4 linked regions of the Pelodiscus sinensis genome follow. The protein of the gene in region 2 interacts with the protein of the main gene of each other region in a pairwise test. Links are inferred from orthologs where the notes say so. Each region holds a gene or a part of one and is shown on either strand. Other genes may lie near its edges. The genes, in order: RIC8A, UBQLN1, TMUB2 and SRGN.

Region 1 (7,072 bases), on a different chromosome or scaffold from region 2:
ATATGTGGCAAATCCCTACCGTTAACATGCTCCCTTCATTATTTGTAGTTGTGAACCATAATAATTCTACTACATCCATAGCTTGCTCCCTAGGCCTCAGATGTTACCTCCTAATCTTCCTTTACCATAAAGGTCTCTTCCTTGCTATCTCTTTAGTCCCTGCGTCTTCATTCATTTCTCTGACATGTTTCCCTTGTACCCTTGATGCTAAAAATCTGAGCTGAGTGCTTCACTTCCAATACACAAGGGAAGCAGGATGGGGAGATGTTTACTAAATGCTCAGGATCAGTCACTGTCAAAACATACATGCAGGAATCACTGATGCTACAAATACAAAATGTAGCTGCTAAGCAGGTTAATGGCACTTTTATTGAAGTGACACACAGGCAGATGTAGGTAGAGGAGACAGACAGGGACAGCTGGCTGGCAAGAAATCCCACAGCATGGCTTCCCCAGCCAACCTGCTGCCAGACACGTAAACATGGAAGCTGAGCACTGGCACAGGCCTAGCACAAACCCAACACTCACCTCCTGGTTGTAGATCTGCAGCACCTTGAGGATAGCATCTTGTTCTCCATTTTCCACAGTCTCTACCACATTCTTGAGTTCCATTGCCCCGGCAGGTTGGACAGGGACTGGAACGCTATGGGGTGGAGTGGGCAGGCTTGCAGCGTTGCTGGATAATTACCCGGATAATTACGGATGCACAGGGACCTTGACACACAGACCACAGGAAGGAAGAGGGGAGGAGCAGAGAGAGAAAAGCAAGTGAAATGGCTCACTCTATTACAGCCAAAGGGCAGAGCAGATGGATGACCCCAATAAAACCAGGCGCTAACTCCTTCTCTTCTTCTCTCCCTTTAATCCTCTCTCTCCCTCTCTTTACTTTCCAATGTTTAATAAACACCCTCCCACCAACGCACTTAGGAAACCCCCCTCCCTTCCTCAGTGGGAAGATTAACACAGAACAGATAACTGCAGCTCCCTGCAGCCCTCCCCTTCCACCCACTGTCCTGATTTCTGTTCCTGCACAGCAAAAACCCAGAAATTTCTTTGTGGAATAAAAGAGATGCACAAGAGAGCAAGACAGACAGACAAGCCCCATGCAGGCTGGGTTAAGGTGGAGCTGTCCTTTAAGGTGGCACGAAGAAGTCCGTCAACTGAAAGCACTTTAATTTTGTTTTGTTTGTTTACGAAAGAATCTAGCACTCTGAGGCATCTGTGTAGGTCTGTAACTGGGGAAGATGAATATGCCAAATGCATTATAAAAATGCCTGGCTTGATGGATAAAAGGCCACTGTTGTCCAACATAGGGGCAGCGGGCTTCTATCATTCCTGACACGAATGTGTTTTACAATTATAGTAAATAATTAGATGTGCATTTATATGCCAATAATACTCATAGATTCTTTGGGGCTAGGCATTTGGCTGGTTGTAAAGCACTTTGTTGACGGACAGCGCTGAGAGAGATTGTTAATATACTACACTATTGAATATGATTCCATAAGGCTGTGTAGGGTAATATTTTCTATAGCTAGATTTCAATTCTGCACTAAATATTGAGGGTGTAAATCCCCCAATAAAGCCAAGGTCTTGAGACAAGTCCCATACACCTCTCTCCCCACCCCAATTCAGAAGCTCCACCTGAAACTCATTGCGTGGTGGGCACCAATTCTATGGCACTGTCACAATAAAGTTTAAGGGTGCCTACTGGCTGCCCAGCATGATGCTCCCCCTGAAGTTTGCAAGCTACTAGGACGGCTGAGGAAGACAGAGAGGAACACAGCTCTCAAAACCACAATAAAACCCCAAACTCCTCAAAAGAGATCCCATGGAAATGTAGACATTAAAGCTGAAAAAGGCAGCTCATCTCTAATCCACCCCCTTTGGGCCAATACAGGATTGTTCACGACAATGTACTTTCCTTCCAACTCCAAGCTTCTAGCACTTCCCATGGGACTAGAACACTTCTCTCAAACCTCGCTATTTGGATTTTGTTCCTGTTTTTCATCTTGCATTTTTCTGTTTAACTCATGAGAAGTTCTCCCCACCCAATACCAGTCTCTTTTTGATGCCCACATCCACCAAAAATGTATAGATGCTGGTCTTTGTGCTGCTCCCTCTAGTTCCAATTCTGCACCAATTACACCTGAACTTAACTTTAGTTCTGTGAGCAGTCCTTTCAAATCAACTGGACTCCTAAAAATTCTGCATGGGGGTAATGCCTTTGCAGGTTCAGGGCCTGTAGTCATACACATTTCTGTCTTTTCATCTTTCATAGTAAATCAGTCTTTACAGAAATCCTCATCAATTTGGAAGGACAGGATGGGACAAATGATAACTAATTTGCTAAAAGTAGAGACCGTACCTCTTCAATACTGAGGGATGGTCACAGAAGCAAAATGTCCTGAAACAATTAACAATAACTATTATAACAGTTTTCAGAGGGGTAGCCCTGTTAGTCTGTAATTTAAAAAAACAACAGCAGTTCTGTGGCCCCTAAGAGACTAACAAATAGATTATACCATGGCAATAATTATCAGATTAGCTTTATTTTAAACGATAAAACGTTGCTAAACTGGTTAAAACAGCTCTACCTTCCAGAGTAAAGAAAAGGAGTGTAAACAAATAGTAGGAGCTAATAGATGTTACATAGAAAATATAATAAGCACATTACCTTTACTTTAGTTTTCCTTGCTTAGGTTTCTTGCTTTATTTCCTGAACACTGCAGCTTGTCTCTCCCCCATCTCTCCAATGTAAGCGATTTGTGCAGGCAGCTGCTTTGTTTAAAAAAAGCTGGATTTTGCAAGCTCGAACGCTGGCCGGCCGGCTCAGGGTGGAATGTGATAGCATTTACCCTGTCGGGATGCTGTTCCCAGGGTTCAGGGATGGGGCACCAACTGGGGAAGGTCTTAATCTCTCTTCCCGCCTCCCCACTGTCCAAGGGTGGAGGGAAAGAGTCTATGTAACTCATACGGAAGTTAGGACCGTGCTGACATCCGACAACCGATTCAGAATGGGGGTGGGGATTGCAACAGGTCGGAGAGAGAAGACGATACAGTAGTACAGACAAAAGAAACGCTGTATTACTGGAGGTTTGGAAATCGGGGGAGGGGCAGAGATAGCTTCCTGCGATCAGCCATAAGAATTTTCAACAACGGATGCAATATGGAAATATTTTAGGTGCTGATCATCCACCCTTCTCTGGCAGGATTAATGACAAAGAAAAATCGTCTCCTCTCCATTGTCTGGTGGGAGTCAGATGAAAGAAATTCTTAGAGCAAAATAATTAAGCGGGGCTGGGCAAACCTGTTCTTTGACTATGTTTTTCTCCTATTGTTTTTTTAAAATATTTCATTGAATTTTGTGTAATATTTAAGCTGTTAAGTATAAAATAGCAAACATAGAAATAAGAAGGAATGTGCTAAATGTCACTGCCCAATCGCTGTTTTTCGGTTCCATCCCTTCTGGCTAGCTGTTCATTCTTGGTGCTCCAGTTGTGTTAATACTAGCTACCAGGCACACTACCTTCCTCCCTGAGTGGTCCTACTGATGAAGCTAACGCCTAGATCCCGCCATTTATTCCCCATTACTGGATCTTTGCATGCTTCTCAGCAGGCCCAGGTGGCTGCTCACATGGATCAAATTGCAGGCTCAAGGGCTAAATAAATAATATGTTGTTGTGTGAAACAGACACAGGAAGTTTAGGCCAGGATGTTAACTTTATTAAAATAAGCTACAGAAATGCTTTCCGTTTAATTGAAACCTTATTTGTAATGCAAACATTAGGGCTCTCAAGTGATTAAATGTTTAATCGTGATTAATCACACTGTTAAATAATTTAATGTTATTTATTTAAATATGTTGATGTTTTTCTACAAATATATTGATTTCACTTTCAACACATCAGAGTACAGGGCTGGCTTTAAGTGTGATTACAAATATTTGTGCTGTTAAAAATAGTATTTTTTAATTCACCTCATACAAGTGCTGAAATGCAATCTCTATCATGAAAGTTGAACTCAAGGTAGAATTATGTATAAAAATAACTGTGTTCAGAAATAAAACAATGTAAAATCTTTTCCTCTCCCATTGTCCGGAGAAAGTCAGATGAAAGAAATCCCTAAAGCAAAACAATCAAGTGGGGCTGGGCAAACCTATTCTTTGACTATGATTTTATCCTATTAGCTTTTTAAAAAATATTTCATTTAATATTGTGTAATATTTAAGCTATTAAGTATAAAATAGCAAACATGAAGATAACAAGGTATGTGCTAAATGTCAATGTTCAATTGCTGTTTTTCTTTTCCATCCCATCTTGCTAGTTGTCCATTCTTGGTGCTCCAGTTATGTTAATAGTAACTACCAGGCATAAGAGTCTACAAGTTCACTCAGTCCTATTTCTTGTCCAGCCAATCACTCAACAAGTTTGTTTACATTTGCAAGAGAACTGCTGCCCATTTCTTGTTCACAGGATCTGCTTGATAATGATACGAAACAGTGTAGACTGATGCATATTCATTTTCTTCATCTGAATCAGATGTCAATAGCAGAAGGTTGATTTTTTTTGGTGGTGGTTGGATTCTGCCATTTCTGCATTGGTATGTTGCACTTTTAAGACTTCTGAAAGCATGCACCACACTTTAGTCCACTCAGATTTTGGAAAGCACTTCAGACTCTTAAACCTTGGAGTGTTGTAGCTCTCTTTAGAAATCTCACATTGGTGCCTTCTTCCTGTTTTGTCAAATCTGTAGTGAAAATGTTCTTAAAACAAACGACATGTGCTGGGCTATTTTTACAATGCAAATATTTATAATAAAATAATATAAAGTGAGCACTATACAGCCTGTGTTGTGTGGTAATTGAAATCAGTGTATTTGAAAAGGTAAGAAAACATCCACAAATATTTAATACATGTCCAGTGAGATAAGAATGAAAAAAAGAATGGCCATACTGGGTCAGACTTAAGGTCCAACTAGCCCAGTATCCCGCCTTCCCACAGCAGCCAATGCCAGGTGCTCCGGAGGGGGTGACCAGACCAGGGAATCATCAATGTATCCCTCTCCTGTCATCCATTTCCAGCCGCTGATAATAATTTATAGATTAACCTCCATGAATGTATCAGGTTTTTTTTAACCCTGTTAAAGTCCAGGCCTTCACGACATCCTTCTGCAAGGAGTTCCACAGGTTCACTGCGTGCTGTCAAGTGGTGATTAAGCAGGATGATTTTAATCCATTGAGTTAATTAGGAGAGTTAACACTGCCATTCATTAGCAACCCTAATAAACCTCCCCATGTTTTCCCTCCGACGTTAGGAGCCCGGACAAAAGCCCATTGCACTCAGGTTGAAAAGGGAGCCCGTGGGGTGGCCCCGTGTGAACGCAAAGCCCAAAGAAACGGGACAGCCGGGCGGGGTGTGGGCGGGCTGCAGCCCCTGCGGTGGGTGTGGCGCACGCGCACGGCTGCTCGGACAGCAGGGCCCGGCCTCGTTCTCGCCCGGCGCCTCTAGCGCGCGGGGCTGAGCCCAGCCCCCGGTCTCCGCCCCAGCAGCTGGGGGCAGTGGAGGCCCCGCCCCGCGAGGCGGAGTCACTGCGCCCCTCCCCCCCCCTTCCCGGTCCTCCTCCTCCTCCCGGAGCCGCCGGCCGGACGCGCAGGCAGGACGCGGCCATGGCGGACTGGGGCCGAGGTGAGCCCGGCCGGGCGCCGCGCGCGGTCCCGCTGCAACGGGAGCCCCGGGCCCCGCCACCGCCCTCGCGCCGGGCCCGGGGAGAAGGAACAGCGGGGCGGGGCCAGGCAGGGGCTTGAGACGGGTTTGGTGACGCAGGGGGAGGGGGGCAGAGATCAGGGGGGCTGGTGGGGAGCTGTGGGGCGGGGTGACTGGGATAGGGGGGGTGGCAGGGAGCTGTGGGGCGGGGAGCTGTGGGTAAGGGGGACGGGCGGGGGGTTGCGGGGCGGGGAGCTGTGGGTGGGGGGGTGGCAGGGAGCTGTGGGTAAGGGGGGCTGGCGGGGAGCTGTTGGTAGGGGGTGGCAGGGAGCTGTGGGGCGGGGTGACTGGGATAGGGGGGGTGGCAGGGAGCTGTGGGGCGGGGAGCTGTGGGTAAGGGGGACGGGCGGGGGGTTGCGGGGCGGGGAGCTGTGGGTGGGGGGGTGGCAGGGAGCTGTGGGTAAGGGGGGCTGGCGGGGAGCTGTTGGTAGGGGGTGGCAGGGAGCTGTGGGGCGGGGAGCTGTGGGTGGGGGGGGTGGCAGGGAGCTGTGGGTAAGGGGGGCTGGCAGGGGAGCTGTTGGTAGGGGGTGGCAGGGAGCTGTGGTGCGGGGAGCTGTGGGTAAGGGGGGCTGGCGGGGGGTTGCGGGGCGGGGAGCTGTGGGTAGGGGGGGTGGCAGGGAGCTGTGGGGCGGGGTGACTGGGACAGGAGGGGCTGTGGGTAGGGGGGGTGGCAGGGAGCTGTGGGGCGGGGTGACTGGGACAGGAGGGGCTGTGGGTAGGGGGGGTGGCAGGGAGCTGTGGGGCGGGGTGACTGGGACAGGAGGGGCTGTGGGTAGGGGGGGTGGCAGGGAGCTGTGGGGCGGGGTGACTGGGACAGGAGGGGCTGTGGGTAGGGGGGGTGGCAGGGAGCTGTGGGGTGGGGTGACTGGGACAGGAGGGGCTGTGGATGGGGGGGTGGCAGGGAGCTGTGGGGTGGGGAGCTGTGGGTAAGGGGGACGGGCGGGGGGTTGTGGGGCGGGGAGCTGTGGGTAGGGGGGTGGCAGGGAGCTGTGGGGCGGGAGCTGTTGGTAAGGGGGACTGGCGGGGGGGTTGCGGGGCGGGGAGCTGTGGGTAAGGGGGGCTGGCGGGGAGCTGTTGGTAGGGGGGTGGCAGGGAGCTGTGGGTAAGGGGGGCTGGCGGGGGGTTGCGGGGCTGGGAGCTGTGGGTAAGGGGGGCTGGCGGGGAGCTGTGACCGGCTAGGGTAGAATAGGGCTGTCTGTGAGGTTGGAGCAGGGTTGTGGGCAGGGAGGCTGTGGGCAGCCAGTGGTCTGGCAGTATCGGTTGATGTGTCTTGGGGGGGTGGGACTCAGTGGGACAATGAGGCATGT
Region 2 (7,037 bases):
CTGTTCACTCCCTCTGGAGCATGTGGCATTGGCAGGACACTGGGTTAGATGGACCTTTGGTCTGATTCAGTATAGTTGTTCTTATGCTATGTTCCTATGTTTGTGATGAGTTTTGCTTTCTAGTTTTTCATGTGCTGCTGGCTAAAGGATGTGAGATTCACACCAATGCAATTTAATGTCTTAAAGTGTTTTATTGTCCCGAGAGAGACAAAAGTTATTGAGCTTCAAACTCTTTATCATCTGAACTGAAAGAGTAGGTACATCAAGAAATCATATTGTGATGAACTTTCCCCCGCACCTGAGTAATTCTATGACGAGGACCCACTGTAGTGCATTAGTAAGTCATTTTGCATAACTGATTGCAATACATTACTTGTTCCCATTTTATTAAATGATCTAATTGAATCAAAGAATTAATAATCTGCCTCATTCAAACTAAAAAATTATAAAAGATGTTCCAAAAAGCATGAAATTATGTAATTGATATTTGTGAGACTACATTATTTTGTGATACCCTAATTTCACAAATGTTGTAGCTGGGATTGAAACATGTAAAACCTACATGTAAAACCTATGATTTCCTTAGTTACCACTACTTGTTTCATAGAATCATAGGAGATTAGAATTGAAAAAGACATCAGGTGGTCATCTAGTCCAATCCCCTGCTCAAAGTTGGACCAAATTTAACTAACCTGTGGACTGCAAAAGAAATTCTGCCTTCCAATCTGATGTTTGATTTCTGTATAAAATGCTGTTCCAAGATAATTTCCAGTGCTCTGTGCTGCTGGAACTGTTACAGTTCAGGGCAAATACCTGTATTTCTACCCCACCCTCAGCTCCCTAGCTGTTGCTCTCAAGTGGACATTCATATCTCTTTCAGTCTGATCATTGTATTTCCAGACTGCACAGTTCACAGCCTTTTGTATGTTTCCTACCACAGTCTGCTTAAATAGAGCTGCTTGCTTTCTTTTCAGAGACTGGTAACAGAGGAAATGCTATAGGTATGTAGCACACATTTCCTCCTATACCTTAAGGCTGTGACTAGACTGGCCAGTTTTTCCGGAAAATCAGCCACTTTTCCGGAAAAACTTGCCAGCTGTCTACACTGGCCGCTTGAATGTCCGCAAAAGCACTGACGATCTCATGTAAGATTGTCAGTGTTCTTGTGGAAAGACTATGCTGCTCCTGTTTGGGCAAAAGTCCTTTTGCACAAAACTTTTGCAGCTCAGATTTGTTTTCCGCAAAAAAATCCCGATCGCGAAAATGGCGATCGGGGCTTTTTTGCGGAAAAGCGCATCTAGATTGGCACGGATGCTTTTCCGCAAAAAGTGCTTTTGCAGAAAAGCGTCCGTGCCAATCTAGACGTGCTTTTCCAAAAATGCTTTTAATGGAAAACTTTTCCATTAAAAGCATTTCCAGAAAATCATGCCAGTCCAGACATAGCCCAACAGTGGTGGTATTGCTGTGGATGCTTCCATTATAGTTCTGTAGTCCTTTTTAAATGGTGAATGTTTATAATAGGAGAGAAATCTTGAGTAAAGATTTCAGATTAGGTGTTGATTGCACAAAGTAGGTGAGCTCTGAAGCAGGCCTAGTGAGATGAAAGAATCCTCACTGCCAGCCTTAGTCTCAGCTCCCCACCCACCCTTTGCAGTAGAGCAAGACTACTGCCACTCCATACCCCACAGTGAAGAAACACCTAATTTTGCTATGACACATAGGCCTGCACCAGTTTTGCTGACAACACCACAGCAGCAATAGCGGTATGGTGACCATATTTTCTGAACCAAAATTAGGGACACATTAGCCATGCCCCTGACTTCCATTAACCATGCCCCTATGACCTGTTAGCCACGCCCCCATCACAAGAAGTCCCACCACTGAAGGTAGTACTCCTTAGGTCAAGATGGACACATGAGCATAAGTAAAGGGTGACCCTTCTAAGAACTCTTCCTACTGTCGTCCTACCAATAGGGATAGGTTTGGCCCACACAGGACACTCCCCATGAAACTATCCTGCAGTTACATTAACCCGACTTGCATTGCATTAACTTGGGGAGAGGGGCGGAGAGGCTGGGGGAAGTGTTCCCTCTAAGATTTTCCTCCCATAAGCAGAGTGAGTTTTGTCTTGTGCACCTGTATTGAGGTCATGTCTGCTTGTTGGGATGTGTGCCACTGTGGCACCCAAGTTACTAATAAACATCATAAACCTCTCCCTTTTCCCCTCTGCTGCCATTGTCTCCGTCCCTTCCCCTATCTGTTCCCCCACCCCTCACTCTCCTCTGCTGTCCTGCTCCTGCCCTTTTCACTCCCCTCAGCCCTGTGGGGACCTGCCCCCCTCTCCCCTGCCCTGCACCAGCCCTTCTCTTCCCCTTTTGCCCACTCTGATTATCTGCAGGTACCTCTCCCCATCCTTTCTCCTAACACCTCCCTCTACCCACTACCCTGCGTCTCTTCTCTGGGGCCCATCCCTCCCCTCAACATGTCTGCCCTTCTGCTTTACCCCCATAATCTCCTGGTACCTGCACCTTCCTGGTGCCTCCTCCTTCCCTCTCTGCTCACCCCCTCACCACTCTCTGCCCCAGTTCTCCTCATGCCCCCTGTGCCCTCACCTACAACTTGCTCCATCCCCTGCCTTCCTCATGTCCACCCCTCCTTTCAATGCTGCTTCTCCCAGCACCCACTTCACTCCCAACCTCTCCTCTTCCTTCCTCTTGCCTCTATATTCCCTCCCCTTTTCCACCCCCCACTGACACCTTCCCTCCCCCTCCTGCCTTTTTCCTTTGTCTCCTTTTGAGAAGAGGCAGGGGGAGAACTAAGAAGAGGGGTGAGGAGAGGGAAGGGGCTTGTGTGGAGGGGAGGGGAGGGGAGGTGGGGGGCAGCAGAAGAAGAAAGGGGGCAGGCAGCGGCAGAGTGGAGGAGAGACAATTAGTACGGGGATGTAACCAACATTACAAAGGGATTGTACTGATATTTGATTATTCTGGGCCTGGGAGCAGAGTGGAGTCTAGTGGTTATATGCAGCACAGCCAGCCATCTAACTGGGCAGGCATTCTGAAAAGCAATATGACAAAATAGATATTACAATGAGTGTGCTATCTTGATGATGTGCTCTATCCTTAGCAGCTCTGCGTGGACCTTTTGCAAGTGCTTGGTATCACTGGCCCAATAGTTTTTAACCTCGTGTGTTGTCCATGGACAGCAGTGGCCAATTGATGGTTTAATGAATCTGGGAAAGGGACAATACACTAGAACACTAGTTCTTAATTTGTGATTGCTGGGTGCTTAGGTACTCACAACCTATCTCTGAGGTTAGCCAGAGCCTCTGCCCCTCTCTTTGAAAAAAAGGGGGGGTGCACAGGGAAAAGTGGTGATCTGTGTCCTTAGAAGCTGGGAGGGAGACAAGTAATAGTTCTAGCCCCTAAACAATTAATTCCTGGCTTTCTCACAACTGCGTCGAAGTTATGGTATGTGTGAGTATCAGCTGCAATGCATGACACCATGATGAAGCAGCTCTGCACAACTGGGCCTCAGATTTCCGGGGGTGGGGTGCTAAAGCTGGCACTCAACCTATATGGCCTGGAGCGCGGCTACCCTATGGCCCCCGACTCTGCACCACGCAAGTTGCAAAGGGACACCTAGGCGCCTGGTTGCTTCAGAAACACCAGTAGTGAATTAACTGCGGCCGAGCGGCCCGCACTGCACGTGCTGCAATGGACGTGGCCTGGGGATACTTTGGACCCTCTCCACCCCCCGCCGACAGCGACGCACTAGGAGAGAGGGAGGCGGGGCATCAAGGCCTCGAGCCAAAAGCGTCAGGAACCACTGACGTCTCGCTCAGCCGCTCAAGCGCACGAGGCCGCACCTGCGCACTAGGCAAAGCGAACGCATAATTCGAGTCCCGTCAGATGACATGAGCAGGCGCGCTAGTTACACGTGAGAACCGAAAGGAGTCGCACGGCGGCTAACCATTACTCTCGCGCACTATCGGCCAATCGATATTGCGCGTGCGCGCTTGTTCAATCACCTGTTGCACATGCGCGCGAGGCTTAGCCCTGTGTCCTATGCCTGGCGAGACAACATCCCTTTCTAGTAACTTCCCTCATTCGAGACGTCATCAGTGCGCGCAGCGCCCGATCTGGGTTGTTTCCGTTTAACTCTCCGGGAGGGAGAGCGTCGCGGGTGTTTTCCGGTGTCGGCGCGCGAGGCAGCGGCGCTGAGGAGCCGGGTTTGCGCAGCGTGCCCCGCGCGGCGAGAGCGAGCGAGACCCAGAGCCAGCGGCCCCTCTCCCCCTGCCATGGCTGAGAGCGGAGAGAGCCCCCCCGGGGCCCCCAGCCCCCCGGATTCCCCCGCCCCGGGAGGAGCCGCCGACTCGGAGCCTCGAATCATCAAAGTCACCGTGAAAACCCCCAAAGAGAAGGAGGAGTTCGCGGTGTCCGAGACCAGCAACGTGCGGCAGGTGAGGGGGGCGGGCCCGGGAGGCCGCGCCGGTGGGGAAACGGGGCAGGCGCGGCCGTGGAGCTTCCTGCCCCCTACTCAGTTTCCGAGCCCCGGAGAACGGCAGCCGCGCGCTCCTGCGAGCGCGGAGGTTGGCGGCGCTGTCCCGGTGCCGAGGCCAGCCGCAGAGCGGGGCCCTCCCCGCCAAGCCAAGCCAGGGCCCTGCCGGGTGACGAAGCAGCGCCTCGCTGAGTAGCACTGCGCTGCCGCTCCTTGCCCTGGCCCTGCTTATTTCCCGCTATAGTACAGTTAGCCCCGCGACTAGCCGGCGCCGGCTCGCCCACGGGCAGCGAGTTCTCGGAGAGCAGAGAGGAGCGTCTTTACCGATCTTTGCTACTGTAAGCTGAGCCTAAGCCCAGTTAGCCGAGTGGCGCTAACTGCGGGAGACGGGGCCGCGAACTGCTAATTGAACGGGTTACCAGTCAGGCGGAGGTTGGTGATGAAAGAAGATAATAGCAGCCTTCACCTGATAGTCCTCATGGCTAAAGAAAGTGGTACAGGACGTGTTTCAGTTAGGAAGTGTGCATGTGATGCTTTTACCCTAAAAGAGTATTGCGGTTTAAATTAGATTGAAAAAAAAATCGCTAGTTAAATGTGGAAACGTGTTAGTGCTATTACACAATAGTTTCTCTGGTGTGGTGTAGTCATGAGCTGTTAGAATCTTTTTTTCTGTAAGTTTTTATGACAGCCAACTTGTTCCTTTGCAACTTGCGTTCATAGGAAAGAATGCTATCTATTGAATCAAACAATTTCCTGTGATATTCTTTTTTTGGAGGCCTTCCATCCAAATATTGACTAGGCCTGATTATACTTAAGCAAAATGCAGGACAATGGAGCACTTTAAAGACTAACAAGATGGTTTATTAGATGATGAGCTTTCGTGGGCCAGACCCACTTCCTCAGATCAAATAGTGGAAGAAAATAATCACAACCATATATACCAAAGAATACTTTGGTATATATGGTTGTGACTATTTTCTTCCACTATTTGATCTGAGGAAGTGGGTCTGGCCCACGAAAGCTCATCATCTAATAAACCATCTTGTTAGTCTTTAAAGTGCTCCATTGTCCTGCATTTTGCTTCAGCTACCCCAGACTAACACGGCTACACTTCTATGATTATACTTAAGTGATGCTTGGAGTTTTGTGGTTGCAGGCTGTAAGACATTACCAGTGAAACTGTAAAGCAACTAGCAAAATAGTTTCCTTGCTCATGAAGGAGACAAACTGCCACATTAACAGAGCTACAAAAATAAATGTTATCCATGGGAACTCATTTTATATTCCTTTTTGTGTGTGTAATTATTTAGCATCCCTAGAGATGCATTAGATGCCGTTTAAATTTAAACACCATAATGACTTCAGCCAAAGCTGCACCCTTCTTTTGTAAGGCTTTGTAAGTAGATTTTTTGGAACATGACCAGTGTGTGGAATGGTGTGGTAGCCTATTTGATAAAGGCTATAACTTCTGGGCAGATATAAAGGACAAAATAGGAGCTCCAGCAGCAAGAGCTAGGATCAACACCCTGGTTAGAAGCACAGCCCCTTGCTGCTACTAGGAAGGGGGAAGATGCTGAAATTTCTATCCTGGTATTCCTCTTTGGATCCAACTCAGAAATCTGATTTTTTTTTTTTTAATTAAGATCAATTTTTGATTGCTGGGCCAGAAGTTTCAGGAAGGCCTACCTCCTGATGGCTGAAAGGGGGCGCGCTTTGTCCATTAGGAGTGGTGTAAGCTTCCGAGTTATGAATTCTATCACTCCCCATGCAATGTAATTAAGTTGACTTAAGCCATGGTGTAGAAACTGCTAAATTGCCAGAAGAATAATTGTCAGCCTAGCTACTTCCTGTCAAAGGTGGATTTATTAGAACAATGGAAGAACACGTTCCACTGCCATACTATTTGTCTATGCTGCAGGATCATAGCTTGTAGTATTTCCAGTGAAAACATACCCTTAAGCTTTTCCAGAATCTCCTGACTGCTGCACTTGGGTAGGCTCTGTTACTCTGCCTTCAAGCTTCATTTTTGGACTTGTGCTTACCTAGGCAAAATTCCAGTGCCTCTCTGATACTTCTGGCTTGCTTTTGCAAGCAACAGCTGTGTGAAACTGACACTTTTTCCATTTCCCCATTCACCTGAGAGTTCTGAATAGCAGTAATGAAACTGATTACTTTTATTTCACTTCTTTTCTAAAATTTTGCAACTTTTGACAATCCAGCTAAGAGATGCAAAGCCTTTTCAGTCATATGGACCAGTCTTTCACTTAAATTAATAGGTAATAGGTCTCTTCTATGTGGTTTTGAGCCTGTTAACCCAGAGCTGTTTGTTGTTTAAAAATGACAACACTATAAACACTTTGCATTTAAAATTTTTTCAGAATAATTTTATTATGTATAGGAACTATTTTAGAATTGTCACTTGCCATGAAAAGCTTTCTACTTGCAGATGGGTTTTCCAAGTCCTGCTTAGGCTCTGTAGTAATTAGGGACGTAAAATCCTGTTTAATTGGTTAAATAGGTAAACATATTGTTTAACTGGT
Region 3 (7,131 bases), on a different chromosome or scaffold from region 2:
CAGTTTACAATCATGCATTCAGTACAATTTACCATAGAAGCCTGTGTGATCTAGTAATTAATGCAGGGGACTTGGGGTCAGGACCCCTGGGTTGTAGTAGTCCTGGCTCTATTGTTGAATCATTATGTGACCATGATAAATCACTTTCCCTCCCAGTCTCTCACTCACTTTCCTCAACTGTAAAATGGGAATATTCACTGCCTCACAGGTGGGCTGCTGCAGGTTACACAGAACTTGTGAGAAACATAGGGTTGCCAGGTGTCCGGTTTTGAACCAGACAGTCCAGTATTTGAGCTTTCTGTTTGGGAAAATGAGAAATGAGAAAATATAAATGTCCAGTTATTTTCTAAATAAGATGTAATGTAGATTGTGATGTAATGTCAAGTATTTCCGGTATTTTTGTTGAAACCATCTGGCAACCCTAGAGAAGCACTAGTGCGATTCACACACACAGCACCCTTGTCAGTCTAATCTAAGAAAACACCAGTAGGTGCCTGGCTAGGGTGCATCAAATAGAATGTGATATCTGTTTTCAAATGGTGTTTCCGGTTTTTTTTAGAGAGTACTGAATCCCAGAGACCTTTGCCACAAAAATCTATGACTAATGTAGGGGGAGAAAACACCTACCACAGCCAGGGACACAGGGTTGCCCTCTATCAATCAGCCATGCAGGAATCCTGCCTGTTTAAGGAAGAAATTCGTTTCCTAGCCCTCCTTGACCCTGGACTTTCCCTGCCCATTTCCATGATCAGGGGACTGACACCTTGCAGTAAGGCTCCTCTGCTTCAGGGAAGCACCAAAGCCTTTCAGGCCTGGGTGGGGAGGGCACATGGGGGGAGGGGGGGGATTAGCCTCCCATGGACTGCGTGTTAACACCACAGAGTGGGGAGATGGCACTAATGGGGGGGGGGGGGCACGTTCCCAAGCAATAACATGGCCTCCACAGCAGTCCTCAAGGGAGGAAAGGGGGGGGGGGTTAAAACCCTACAGAGGAATAGACATTGGGGGGGTTAAACCCCTGTTAAGGGGCAGCGCCACGCTGGGGGGAAGGAAGGGGGGGGAAGAGCCGTGGAGGCAGTGGCAGCTGAGTAGCGGGGGAAGGGCAGAGCTGGGGGTGGGGAAATAGCTGGGAGGGGGTGGCAGCCAAGTAGCAGGAGAGGGGCAGAGCTGGGGGGGGTGGCAGCCGAGTAGCGGGGGAGGGGCAGAGCTGGGGGGGGGGAGTAGCTGGGGGAGTGGGAGCCAAGTAGTGGGGGAGGGGCAGAGCTGGGGGGGGGGGGGACAACTGAGGGGGGTGGGAGCCGAGTAGCGGGGGGGGGGGAGAGTTGGGTGCAGAACCGGGGGGGGGGGAGCCGAGTAGCGGGGGGGAGAGCTGAGGGGGGGCAGAACCGGGGGGGGGGGGGGAGAGCTGAGGGGGGGCAGAACCGGGGGGGGGGGTGGGAGCCAAGTAGCGGGGGGGGGAGAGCTGAGGGGGGGCAGAACCGGGGGGGTGGGAGCCGAGTAGCGGGGGGAGAGAGCTGAGGGGGGGCAGAACCGGGGGGGTGGGAGCCGAGTAGCGGGGGGAGAGAGCTGAGGGGGGGCAGAACCGGGGGGGTGGGAGCCGAGTAGCGGGGGGAGAGAGCTGAGGGGGGGCAGAACCGGGGGGGTGGGAGCCGAGTAGCGGGGGGGGGGAGAGTTGGGTGCAGAACCGGGGGGGGGGGGAGCCGAGTAGCGGGGGGGAGAGCTGAGGGGGGGCAGAACCGGGGGGGGGAGAGAGCTGAGCGGGGGCAGAACCGGGGGGGGGTGGGAGCCAAGTAGCGGGGGGGGGAGAGCTGAGGGGGGGCAGAACCGGGGGGGTGGGAGCCGAGTAGCGGGGGGAGAGAGCTGAGGGGGGGCAGAACCGGGGGGGTGGGAGCCGAGTAGCGGGGGGGGAGAGCTGAGGGGGGGGCAGAACCGGGGGGGTGGGAGCCGAGTAGCGGGGGGAGAGAGCTGAGGGGGGGGCAGAACCGGGGGGGTGGGAGCCGAGTAGCGGGGGGAGAGAGCTGAGGGGGGGCAGAACCGGGGGGGTGGGAGCCGAGTAGCGGGGGGGGAGAGCTGAGGGGGGGCAGAACCGGGGGGGGGGGAGCCGAGTAGCGGGGGGGAGAGCTGAGGGGGGGCAGAACCGGGGGGGGGTGGGAGCCAAGTAGCGGGGGGGGGGAGAGCTGAGGGGGGGCAGAACCGGGGGGGTGGGAGCCGAGTAGCGGGGGGGGAGAGCTGAGGGGGGGGCAGAACCGGGGGGGTGGGAGCCGAGTAGCGGGGGGGGGAGAGCTGAGGGGGGGGCAGAACCGGGGGGCTGGGAGCCGAGTAGCGGGGGGGGGAGAGCTGAGGGGGGGGCAGAACCGGGGGGGTGGGAGCCGAGTAGCGGGGGGGGGAGAGCTGAGGGGGGGCAGAACCGGGGGGGTGGGAGCCGAGTAGCGGGGGGGGGAGAGCTGAGGGGGGGGCAGAACCGGGGGGGTGGGAGCCGAGTAGCGGGGGGGGGAGAGCTGAGGGGGGGCAGAACCGGGGGGGTGGGAGCCGAGTAGCGGGGGGGGGAGAGCTGAGGGGGGGCAGAACCGGGGGGGTGGGAGCCGAGTAGCGGGGGGGGGAGAGCTGAGGGGGGGCAGAACCGGGGGGGGTGGGAGCCGAGTAGCGGGGGGGGGAGCTGAGGGGGGGCAGAACCGGGGGGGGGAGCCGAGTAGCGGGGGGGGAGCTGGGGGGGAGCAAACCCCGTGGGGGGAAGGGCCGCGCCGGGGCGCTTGGGAGCCCAGGACAGCGGTCGAGCGGGGGATTCACCCTTCGTGGGCGGGGAGGGGCCGGGCCGAGGCGGGGGGGTTAAGCCGGGGGGGGGGGGGTCACTACCACTTACCCGGCACTCCCGCAGACGCCTCCTCCCTACCGAAGGCCCCATACGCCGCGTCACAAGCACACGCCGCCTACGTCAGACGCGCGCCCACCGAGCTCAACTACGTTCCGCGCGCGCTGCGAACGTCAGAGGGACCCGCCCAGCGGGCCGGATGGTGGGGGAGGAGCGCGTCGGCGTACGCTGGTGACGTAGTTAAAATGAGCCGCGAGGGAAAGGGGCGGGGCCAGGAGGCAGGCGATTGGTCGGATTGATCCAAGCCCGCCTCCATAACAGGTCCCTTCAAGAGAGTTGGGCAGGGGGCGGCGCCAGGACGAGTGGGCGGGGCTTGTAACAAAGGGGTGTGGCTTCCACTTCTGTGGTCCCTATAAGGGAGGCAAGGGGGTAACTTGGCAGGGGCTAGCTCAGCCCAGCAGTGTCCCCAGGAAGTGGGGCAGAAGCTGGGGGGCAGCTCAGAAAAGACAAGACCTAGGAGACTCTGGCTGCAGGGTGGGGCCAAGGGGAAGGGGTGAACCCACAAGGTTGCAATGGTCCAAATGCTGCGTAATGCCCCGCTGTGGGACTGGGAGCCCCTGGGTCCTGCGGGACTCGCATGGGTCATAGCAGGAGCCAGCTCGACATTAAAGAACCATGTGGAGTAGGTATTAAAAAATAGGCCCACACAGGACTCTACTGCTGAGCCAGCAGCTAGAGATGTTAATCACTCCAGGAAAAGCCTTGGGAAACGTACTGGGGTGGAGTGGTGCTGCTGGAGTGCAGTGCTACAGAACAGGTTGGACACTAACATTCTAGGGAAAGTAAAAGCAGATGGACAGCCACCCAAATGTATGGTGCAAACGGGTAATTTATGAGGTCCCATTGGACATGGCTGTGGCCGGAAATAAAGCACGTGTTGTAGGTGGGGAATCATGTGAGTGGGTTGTACCCACGAATACTCATGATACCATCTACATTTTTTGTTAGGCTTGCAGCACGTTAGGGACTATTTGGTATTTTTTAATGTGCTAGTAAGTGATAATTAGTAGGAGAGGGGGTGAGAACAAACTGCCCACAGTAGTGCAAATTACATTTAGAAGAACTTTCCGTACCATGGTTAAGCTAGGAAATGAAATGTTTTGGATGAAACCATATGGAACATGGAACCAGTCATGATTTTAGAAGCCTCTACCATATCCCCTCTTAGTTGTCACTTTATTAAGCTGAAAAATCCAAGTCTTATTAATTTCTCCTCCTATAGCAGCTGTTCCATACCCTGATCATTTTTGTTGCCCTTTCTCAATCTTTTTCAATTCTAATATTTCTCTTTTGAGAGGAAGTGATCACATCTGCCCCCAGCATTCAAGATACAGACATGCCACAGATTTATAGAGGCAATATGATATTTTCTGTCTCATTATGTATCCATTTCTTAATGAGTCCCAACATGGTTTGCTTTTTTTTTTTTTTTTTTTTTTTTTTTTTTAACTATTGCACATAGTATGTTTTCAAAGAACTTTCCACATAGACTCCAAGATCTCGAGTTGATTCTAGCCTTTCTTTCACATCTAGTGCCACTCGCCCACCAGCACACCCTGTTAGAACCTCCTGAAATATTTTGTACCCTGGTATTACTGTGTCCCATTAATTATCCTCCTTTTGCCAAGTTCCTGTGATGCCTCATTCTATTAAGAGCCTCATTCAATACAAGGCACTCGAGTTCACCCATGTTATTTAGAGTTCTAGCATTTGTGTATTTAAGCACCTTAAACACTTGTCACTATTTAGCAGTCAGCCATTACCTGATGTGACTCAACGAGTGTTTAGTGACTAGACCACAAGCACGATTATGAAACACGTGTCCAGTTACAAGAAACAGCTGCTGCCCCACACCCCAGGCACCAGAAGTCATAAGGACAGTGCTGAAAGGGAGGCAGCATTAACAAAGATATGCTATTTTTTCTGAGGACACAGCAGAGGAAGAGTGCAATGGCAGGACTGTGTGAGGAATATAGTGGCTGGTAGTATTAGGCTCAGTCAATGAGACAGCTTTGCTGTAAAGACAGGTGCCTGGAATCCATGCCTGGCTACAAGGTCAGGGTCGGGGTGGGACTAGGAGCTGTGCCTGGCTCCAGGAACCTGGCCTCGCTTGGTTAGAGGGGTTTAACTCTTCCTGCCCCACTCCCCAGACTTTCACATGCAGGGAAACTGAGGCATGGAACAGGGAGGTAACTTGCTCAAGGCCATCCCGCAGGGGAATAGTAGAACTGGAGATAGGGGCTAGGGGACCCAGATTCAGACCCCATCTCTGACAGACCGCCCTGGAAGGAGAAGTAGCCATCTCTTGGGTAGAGTATGGCTTTTGTTTAATAGCAAACACCAACAGGATGTAACCTAGCAGGAGAAGGAATTAAGAAGAAACCACATCCTGCAGGGGGCTAAGTACAATTATTACCAAAGTGCAGCTGAGGGCTGAGGCACACGGTTCAGCACGTCTGATCGCATCCCGTCCAGGGCGGGGGCACATTGTTGTACAGAAGCTTCCTGCATTACAATGTTTTCAAGGGACCCAGACCCTTAGAATTTGGTGTGGCTGCCGCCCTGTGCAAGCTGCCAGCCCAGCTCAGGCTAAAGTTTGTGATGCTACATGATCTTGTCTGGGGCAGTGGCCCCTGCTTAATGCTTCAAGGGGGAAAGAGGAAAAAAAAAAGACCCACATACCCTAACCCTCCCCTACCAAGAGGCAAAACACACAGCTGTGCAAAGAACCGTGACATTTGAGGCACCATATTGATCCAAATTCTATTGTGCCCTATGCAACCGCATGTTGTCTTAAGGCTCTGGCCGCCCCATCCCGTGACAGCCCGCCCTCTGCCCCTTCTGCTAGCTGCACCCAAAGGGCTCTGTGCCCAGCCCCCACTTACCGGAGATGAGTGCCCCTCATGGGCCAGAGGACTGGGCAGGGAGCAGCTGCACAGCAGGTGGCTGAAGAGAAGCAGGACTTTCACCGTAAAGGGGCCACGTCTCTCTGGCCGGCTGTGTGACCACCTGCTGCTCCTCTAGCCCACACCGCCTTCCCTGCTTGCTCCAGGTTGTCAACTCTCCTGGCATGGACCGGGAGTGTTGGCAACCCCTTTCCCTCAGCTGCAAAGGCACCAGCATCGGTAGGGATGGCCCTGCCTTCTCCCACCCTGAACCCTACCATTTTGCACTAGCGAGTGATGTCTTCAGAGTCCCTGCAGCTGCTATCCTCATGTGTATCACCTCTACAACCTGAGCCCCGGATCCTGATTCCGCCATGTCCGGCAGGGTGTGACCTGGGGAATGGTCTGTCGTATTCCAACTGCGGGGGGGAGGGAGGGGAATGTCAGTGCCAGAGTCTGGCTTGGAGCAGGAGGTTGGATTCAAGCCCCACCTCTCACTTCCGTCAGCAAAGAAGAGGGAGAAAAATTGTTCCCTTGGGCCTCTGATGATAGGACAAGAAGCAATGGGCTTAAACTGCAGCAAGGGAGGTTTAAGAAAAACTTTATTCCAGTGTTTAACTACCCTGACAAATTGCATAGGGAGGTTGTGGAAGCTCCATCACTGGAGACATTTATGAGCAGGCTGGACAGACACCTATCAGGGATGGTTTGGATGGTGCTGGGTCCTGTTGTGAGGGCAGGGGACTGGACTTGACCTCTCAAGGTCCCTTCCAGTTCTAATGTTCTATAGGAGATGGGTTAAGGCATTATCCCTGTTCTACAGAGGGAGAACAAAGGGGAACAGCACTGCCCTGGCTTCCAGGGCACGAGGAAGGGCCTTGTCACCAAGGAAATGGCTCAGCAATATCAGATAAAAATACAACTGCTGGGCTCTACCATGCCCCGAGCAGCACCTTCAACATGCCAGCAGCTCCGCCTGTCTCCACTGCAGGAAGCAGCCAGGCAGCACTCCTTGCCCAAAGGGACTTGTCCTCCCCAAAGATCTCCCCTTCAATTGCAGGCACTTGTTTTTCCTTCTGCTGCAGGATCCCTGCCCAGTGTGCCAGAAGATCAGGGCGAATCATAGGACTGGAAGGGACCTCGAGAGGTCATCGAGTCCAGCCCCCCGCCCTCAAGGCAGGACCAAGCTCCGTCTACACCATCCCTGACAGATGTCTATCTAACCTGTTCTTAAATATCTCCAGAGAGGGAGATTCCACCACCTCCCTTGGCAATTTATTCCAATATTTGACCACCCTGACAGTTAGGAATTTTTTCCTAATGTCCAATCTAAACCTCCCCTGCTGCACTTTAAGCCCATTACTCCTTGTCCTGTCC
Region 4 (6,862 bases), on a different chromosome or scaffold from region 2:
ATTGCTTTCATAGTCCATATTGTGTTGATCAACACCTTTTAGTGATTCCCATGTTCTAGGAAACCTATAATTTATTTATGCAGAAAATTAATAATATATTTTAAAGTACAATGAACTCTTTTAACACCTATTATCAGGGATCAAGTCTAAGAGGGTACAGTGTGTATTTATCCAGAAAAAAACACTTATTAGATATTTGGAGAGTATGGATAGGGAAAATTTCAACAGGCCTCTAACAAGACTCCTCAGTTTGTGAATTTAGATTCCACTCCTGCAAACAGGATCTGTTATAGATGTGAGTTTTTCTTTACTGCCCCTTTCAGGTTTTTGTTGACTCTTAATGTTAAATCTGAGTCCTTCAAGTTTTTCTTTAAGATTTTTCCTTCTAAGTTGTTTGCTAGTTATCACTCAGATATCTCCTTTTACTCATTGCTTTTCTCATTTCTGGCTTCTGACTTCTTAAATCTATGCAAAATTTCAGAAGAGTAAGGAAGCCTCTACAATCTGTTGTCTTCCAGAAATTGCAAGGGCATGCAGGTTGTTTATTGTTACTGTAGGACTTAAGAAATAGGCTTGTGGCATTCAGGTGAAGATCACACTGAATTTCATACAAAAATGAAATTGTGATTATTAATGAAATATCTGCCCTCCTCTTCCATTGAACTCTCTTGTGCTTTCACTGTTGTTCCCTTATGAAAGCAAGCAGCAACTTATAAACACTCTGGTCTGAAATGTGGCACTGAAAAAAGGTACAAGTTGTCCTCTGAAAAGAACTCCACTCATCTAATGGGTCAGAGGTCCACTTTGCTGGCTTCTATAATGGAAAGCCTTACCGTGTGTGTGTAGATAGATTTATTTTACTTTTCCAATTCAAAGATATTAGGAATGTAACTTTAATGAGAAATATAAAGCAATTGATAAAATAAGGATGGACACTGGGGCAGTCAGTTTTGAGTCCACAAAATGTGATCTTATTTGGCACCCTGAGATGCACCCTGTTTCTGTGTTCTTCAGCAGCATTGATGGTAGTGCTGGAGTACAATAGGCTGAGAGCTAAGCTATACTGAAATCCTTTCAGGGTTTGCCCTCTTTTTGAAAAAGTACTGTCAAGTCTCTAGCTCCAGTGAATTGTTTTTGTAGCAGGATTCTGAGGCATGTCTTCAGTAGGAAATACCACAGGAAGACTAAGGCTATGTCTATACTACAGCTTATGTTGACATAACCTAAGTCACTTGGGGGATAAATAGATCACCTACCTGAGTGATTTCAGTTACACCAACATAAGTGCTGGTGCCTGCAGGAGCTTAAGACGTTAAATCAATGGGAGAGCTCTCTCCTTTCAGCTTAGAGTGGCTGCACCAGAGAGCGGACAGCAGCACAGCTGCACTGGGGCAGCTGCACTTCAGTAAATGTTGTAGTGTAAGTATGCCCTAAAATCTCCTTCAGATACGTGAAAGAGACTCCTCCCTTTGGAAAGAACAAAGGCCTTACCCACATGGGAAGTTTTTTCAGTATAGCTTTTTCCACTATAACTATACTGGCAGGTTCTGTATCCTGACAAGGTCCCAGGGCTGCAGAACTGGGGCTGGAGGAGTTCTGTGTCCCTGCTAGTTAGTGGTAGGACCCAGGCCCCTTCTTATCTTCCCGTGTGCATTCTCCTGTATATTGGCATTACTGTGATGAAAGAATGTGTCAAGCACGTCATTGTTTATGCCAGCCTTAGTTATGTCACTTGTGAATCAAAGTATTTGTGAAAGGAAACATTATTAAAATGGTCCCATTTGTAAGGAATCCAGAATGTAATGTAAAATATGTTAATCTTTGAAGTTAGCCTCAACATTACCAGAGAAGGTTAAAAGGATAGGCCCAACCTGCAAAACTTGTATCTTGAGTAAATGTGATTTTTGTTAATACTCATATTTCTGTGTGATAGCTGCAATACATTGGAAACACAGAATATTCAAAGACTTTTACATTGAGATGTGACAAATGCTATGGATACCTGAGAATATTCACAGACTATTTCATTACCTTTGTATGTTATATGTATCTTTATGCTAGTGATTGTATTTCTAGGTCAATGGGTGAGACAAATGGTTCCAAATGAAATTCACCAATTAAAATCACTGGGCAAGGGGGCAGGAAATAATGTAAATTTTAATGCAAGTAACAAGTATGTGGAAGTTTCATACCCAGAGGAGATAGCACATATATCAATTTGTCCTGGTTGAAAAGGCCTGGCAAACAAAGAACTGTAAACTGTATAAGGAGGTTGTTCTTATCTGGCAATTGTCATGAAACAGTTCAGGCCATGTTGAAAGTGCCTGAAGCACTTTAATTTTATCTGAGTCACCATATGGAAGATAGCTGACTGCCTGGTAAATTTGATCTGCAAATAAACTGTTTATTTTTATTATATATTTTCTCTGTAATGCTATTTAATCAGAACAAAAGCACTTTGCCTTATGAAAGCTTGATGGGCATTGGTTAACTCTGTTATTGCTACTGAGAGAACAGGACTGCAAGGGTACGTCTAGACTACATGGCTCCATCGACAGAGCCATGTAGATTTCTTTGTTCGGAAAAGGGAAATGAAGCCTCGATTTAAATAATCGTGGCTTCATTTAAATTTAAATGGCTGCCGCGCTGAGCCGACAAACAGCTGATCAGTTGTTTGTCGGCTCAGCACGCTAATCTGGACGCTCCTCTGTCGACATGAAAGCCCTTTATCGACCTCCCCGGTAAACCTCATCGTACGAGGCATAACGGGGAGGTCGATAAAGGGCTTTCAGGTCGGTGCGGGAGCGTCCAGACTAGCGCGCTGAGCCGACAAACAGCTGATCAGCTGTTTGTCGGCTCAGTGCGGCAGCCATTTAAATGTAAATGAAGCTGCGATTATTTAAATTGCGGCTTCATTTCCCTCTGCCGATCAGCCTAATCTACATGGCTCCATCGACGGAGTCATGTAGTTTAGACACACCCTAGGTGCTGACCTATAGTGAGATGGCCTAAGAGAATCACAATGAATTACAGGAATCTGCAGTATAAATCCCCAGTCTGGAGAAAGGGCATTGTGGGATCCATTTCCAGAAAGGTGAAAGCTAGAGATATGAGAACTAAACAAGATGCCCTCAAAGAAGTCATGCATGGGTCAAAGGTGCAGTTATTTTGGAATTGTGACATATTGTTCTAAAACCTAGCTGGACCCCTGGGGAATCAAGTGGAATTTCTCCTAAATATTCAGAAAAAATTCTCCTCATTCCTATTAAGTAGGTCCAGGTTTTCACCCTTCAAGAAATAAAAAAACAGTTGGAATACAAATCCTGAATTTAAGAATTTTTGCAACGTGAGAGTTTCACAAGCTCTGTAAGCTTCAAGTTTCACACTGATTATGCTACAAATAATATGCTTATGGCTTGCTTTAGAAAGGGGAAATTTACTTCTGTTGCCAATGCAGCACTACAGTTGCCTACTTGCCTGAAAGTTTGGGATATCAACAGATTGCTACCTGGTTTTTAATTAGGAGTGACAAATTTACAGTAGACCTCTGGCGGCTGACATGTCTGCAGATACTATATGCTTTGGGGAAAGTCTATAGGCAGGCTGGATTGTGTCACATATTTCTGGCCTCTCATTTCTAATCGCTGAAGTAACTTTTTTATTATGGTGCTTACTGGGACCTCAGTAACTCAGGAAAAACGTCTCTTGAAGTCAGTGGTGATTTTTGTCTGAGTAAGAACCACATAACAAGACTCTAGTTTTTTATTGTAGATGCTTCAGTTCAATCAGGAAGTTGTGACGCAGGATATGGGCTGGGTTTGAGGTTTTGGAAACCTTTTCTAAAAGTCTATCTCATTGCCCCTCGTTTTATTTCCTAAGTGTGAAGCTGTAGTGAAGAGTGGCAGAGTGTGGAGGAATGCAAGCCAAAATGCAGACTCTTGTGAGACGTAATGGGAGGATTTTCCTGGCTGTTTGTATAATCCTCTTTATGGGATACTCAGCACAAGGTAAAACAGTGAATGGTTGTTATTTCTATAATCCTCTTTCTAAACTATGTAGTATAGGCCAAGTAAGGTACTGTTGATTTTAAAGAAGAATTCTGACAATTGACCTTAAAGTAGAAATAATAAAACCTACTTTTTATAAAATGATTTTTTTTTGTTAAATTTTCCATCAGCATAACTTTTTGTATCATGCAAATTGTGATAAAACTGCCTTTGGCAAGTGGATCTTTTCTGTCCTTCTTATGTAGATGTTATGTGTAGTTAGTATTAGAATTTATTTTATAAAAATGATGTAATTGATGGCTATAAAAAGTTATCGAAGTTCTATCTATATGAATTTCTTAGCCAACTGTTTTTGTAGTGGGTGAAATACATCAACATCGTGCTATTATCTGAGTAATTTACAGATTTTTTCATTCAACTGAGTCTGAAATACAGCAATCTAAAATGGATCTACATTTCAGGAAGTAAGGACTTCAAGTAGACCTTTATTGGAGTTGTTTCAATCAACAATAAGGCTGATAAATCACCTATAGATAATATGTAAAATTACAGAAAGTTACTTTGTAAAAGCAGCTATGGTGCCCAATTTTGCTCTCATTTATACCCTTTCAATGTATTGACATTAATGTGTTTGTTTTGGGATTATAACAGATTGTTGAATGTAAGATCTTAACAGTTAAGAAAATATTTGAGAAGATGCATATTTCTCATATTATAGATTCATTTTTTTCATGGGGAAATAGGACATTTGTGTAAGTATGGGGAAGTTAAGGGTTTTATTCAATACAGCAAGAATTACAACACCATGCACTATAACAGCTAAAAGGAAACGTTGGTTCACAATGACACAGACATCCTGGACTTATTAGAGACATCTAGTTTTCAAGCTATATACGTGTATTTCCTGTAGAGATATTATCACAGTTATCTGCATTAATTAGATACCTACTGGTGTTTCCATCCTAAATATTATTTTCTTTGGTTGATTATTACCTGACTTTTATGCACACAAAAGGCATGGTACTTTCTACATTTATTATACACAGACTTTATTTTTAATAATATACAAATAGAATAACAATTAAAAGAAAAGACTCTGAGAGAGATGTGAAATAATTGTTATAAGTAACTCTCCAAGCACTTTCTGTCTCCTGTAGAAGAAATGTGTGTATCAGTGTCGGAACAGGTTTTAACCCACTGGAGGAAAGAATGTGCTTGGAGAGTTACATTGTACCTTGGAAGAGTGATTCAGTACAACATGGTAATAGACAATGTTACAAGGGACTGTAGTTACCAAGAAGAGACATTTTCAAAGAATAAAACGAAATTAGATGGAAATACCCAGAGAAGGAGAATATAACATGAGGATTCAGATGCGATTAGTTAATGACAGCAAAAGAAGAATGAAAATTTTGGTTTCAAACAGTTGTTTGTTGGTTTATTTTTTATTTTGCAACTTAAATTTAAAAAAAAAAGCTTTTTCAAAATTAGATGTGAATGTAGGTTAGACACTGAGGGGACGGGAGGAAGTGAAAGAGCATCTGAAAAGTGTTTAGTGAATATCTGCAGCAGCTACTTTCCAAGTCAGTAAATACACACTGCACTCTATGCTACAGAGCCTTATTATTAATGTAGAGATCCCACAGGAGGGTAGGGAGGAAATCTCTGTTAGGGTTCTTAATTCTGTTGGGGAGGTTGGTTACCTTTGACATTCTGGGGCATCTGCGGAAGGGTAGGGAAATCCACAGAAAGGCTCTCAGTCTCCACGCCAGCTCTGGCACCTGGGAGCTATAGTGTGCTCGGCACTTCATAAGATTAGAACCATACTTTGCACATTGCTATGTGCCTTTCCAGCCTCTGTGTGTCTTTTTCATCCCTGTCCGTATAATTTGGAAATCTACTCTTTTTGGCATGAGAGACATCGAACTTTATATAGCTGTTTCACATGGAATTTCTGTAGTGTTTGGAAGCTGTGCGCATATGGATGTAATATGGAATACAGGAATATTACTGATTAATTAAAAAATATCTTGCCAGAATTGTTTATGGTTGGGCAATTACTAAATACATGCATACAGTTATAACTGCCAGTTTCCTAATCAGATGTTCATAAATTAACATAGTCCATAATATTGACTGCATTCATTCATACTAATAGTGTACAAATAATTTGATCAGGTGTTCCAGTGCAGAAAGCAAGATTCCAGAGGGTAAGATGCAGACCAGACATCTTGTCTGCTAACTGCATTGAAGAAAAAGGACCGTTGTTTGAAATTTCTGAAGGTGGAGCTAACAGAATTCTCCCTCCCAAGGCTGATCCATTTCTGTAAGTAAATGAATTAACCCCTCAATATTTGTGGTTGACATCAATAAGCTTTCAGTATTCCTAACTAAAGTGCTTACATCTTTGACTTCTAATATACATAAAAACTGCCATTGTAGATCAGACCAATGGTCCATCTAGCCCAATATCTATCTTCCAAGAGTGGCCAGTGCCAGATGCTTAAAAGAACTGGAAACCAAGTGATCTATCCCCCACTGTTCATTTCCAGCTTCTGGCAAACAGAGGCTAGAGACACTCAGAGAATAGGATTTCATCTCTGACCTGCCTGGTTAATAGCCATTGATGGGTCTATCCTCCGTGAACATATATAGTTCTTTTTTGAACCCTGTTATGGTTTTAAATATCTATCTATCTATCTATCTATCTATCTATCTATCTATCTATCTATCTATCTATCTATCTATCTATCTATCTATCGTTATGCATTTGATTTTCTTTTGCATGTTGAAAGAGTCTGAATTTTTAAAAGTAATAGTACAAACATGGCCTGATTTTGAAAATTACAGTAAAC

What was found.
Region 1: the proteins of UBQLN1 (region 2) and RIC8A interact in binary tests that used the Homo sapiens proteins (3 or more experiments, as listed by UniProt). The link is inferred for Pelodiscus sinensis from reciprocal best matches to the Homo sapiens genes UBQLN1 and RIC8A.
Region 3: the proteins of UBQLN1 (region 2) and TMUB2 interact in binary tests that used the Homo sapiens proteins (3 or more experiments, as listed by UniProt). The link is inferred for Pelodiscus sinensis from reciprocal best matches to the Homo sapiens genes UBQLN1 and TMUB2.
Region 4: the proteins of UBQLN1 (region 2) and SRGN interact in binary tests that used the Homo sapiens proteins (3 or more experiments, as listed by UniProt). The two-hybrid records come from large-scale screens. The link is inferred for Pelodiscus sinensis from reciprocal best matches to the Homo sapiens genes UBQLN1 and SRGN.

What each region holds. Positions count from the first base shown.
Region 1 is NC_134714.1:124,579,733-124,586,804, forward strand, and holds the start of RIC8A (chaperone Ric-8A), read right to left. Parts: upstream 3,020-7,072; 5' UTR 2,678-3,019; intron 715-2,677; 5' UTR 613-714; coding exon 529-612; intron 1-528. Other genes in the region: BET1L (BET1-like protein), read left to right, coding at 5,669-5,687.
Region 2 is NC_134716.1:40,477,792-40,484,828, reverse strand, and holds the start of UBQLN1 (ubiquilin-1), read left to right. Parts: upstream 1-4,029; 5' UTR 4,030-4,297; coding exon 4,298-4,459; intron 4,460-7,037. UniProt on the Homo sapiens protein: Plays an important role in the regulation of different protein degradation mechanisms and pathways including ubiquitin-proteasome system (UPS), autophagy and endoplasmic reticulum-associated protein degradation (ERAD) pathway.
Region 3 is NC_134739.1:7,421,873-7,429,003, forward strand, and holds the start of TMUB2 (transmembrane and ubiquitin-like domain-containing protein 2), read right to left. Parts: upstream 3,019-7,131; 5' UTR 2,861-3,018; intron 682-2,860; exon of another isoform or gene 628-681; intron 1-627.
Region 4 is NC_134718.1:28,745,698-28,752,559, forward strand, and holds the start of SRGN (serglycin), read left to right. Parts: upstream 1-3,851; 5' UTR 3,852-3,916; coding exon 3,917-4,007; intron 4,008-6,185; coding exon 6,186-6,333; intron 6,334-6,862. UniProt on the Homo sapiens protein: Plays a role in formation of mast cell secretory granules and mediates storage of various compounds in secretory vesicles. Required for storage of some proteases in both connective tissue and mucosal mast cells and for storage of granzyme B in T-lymphocytes.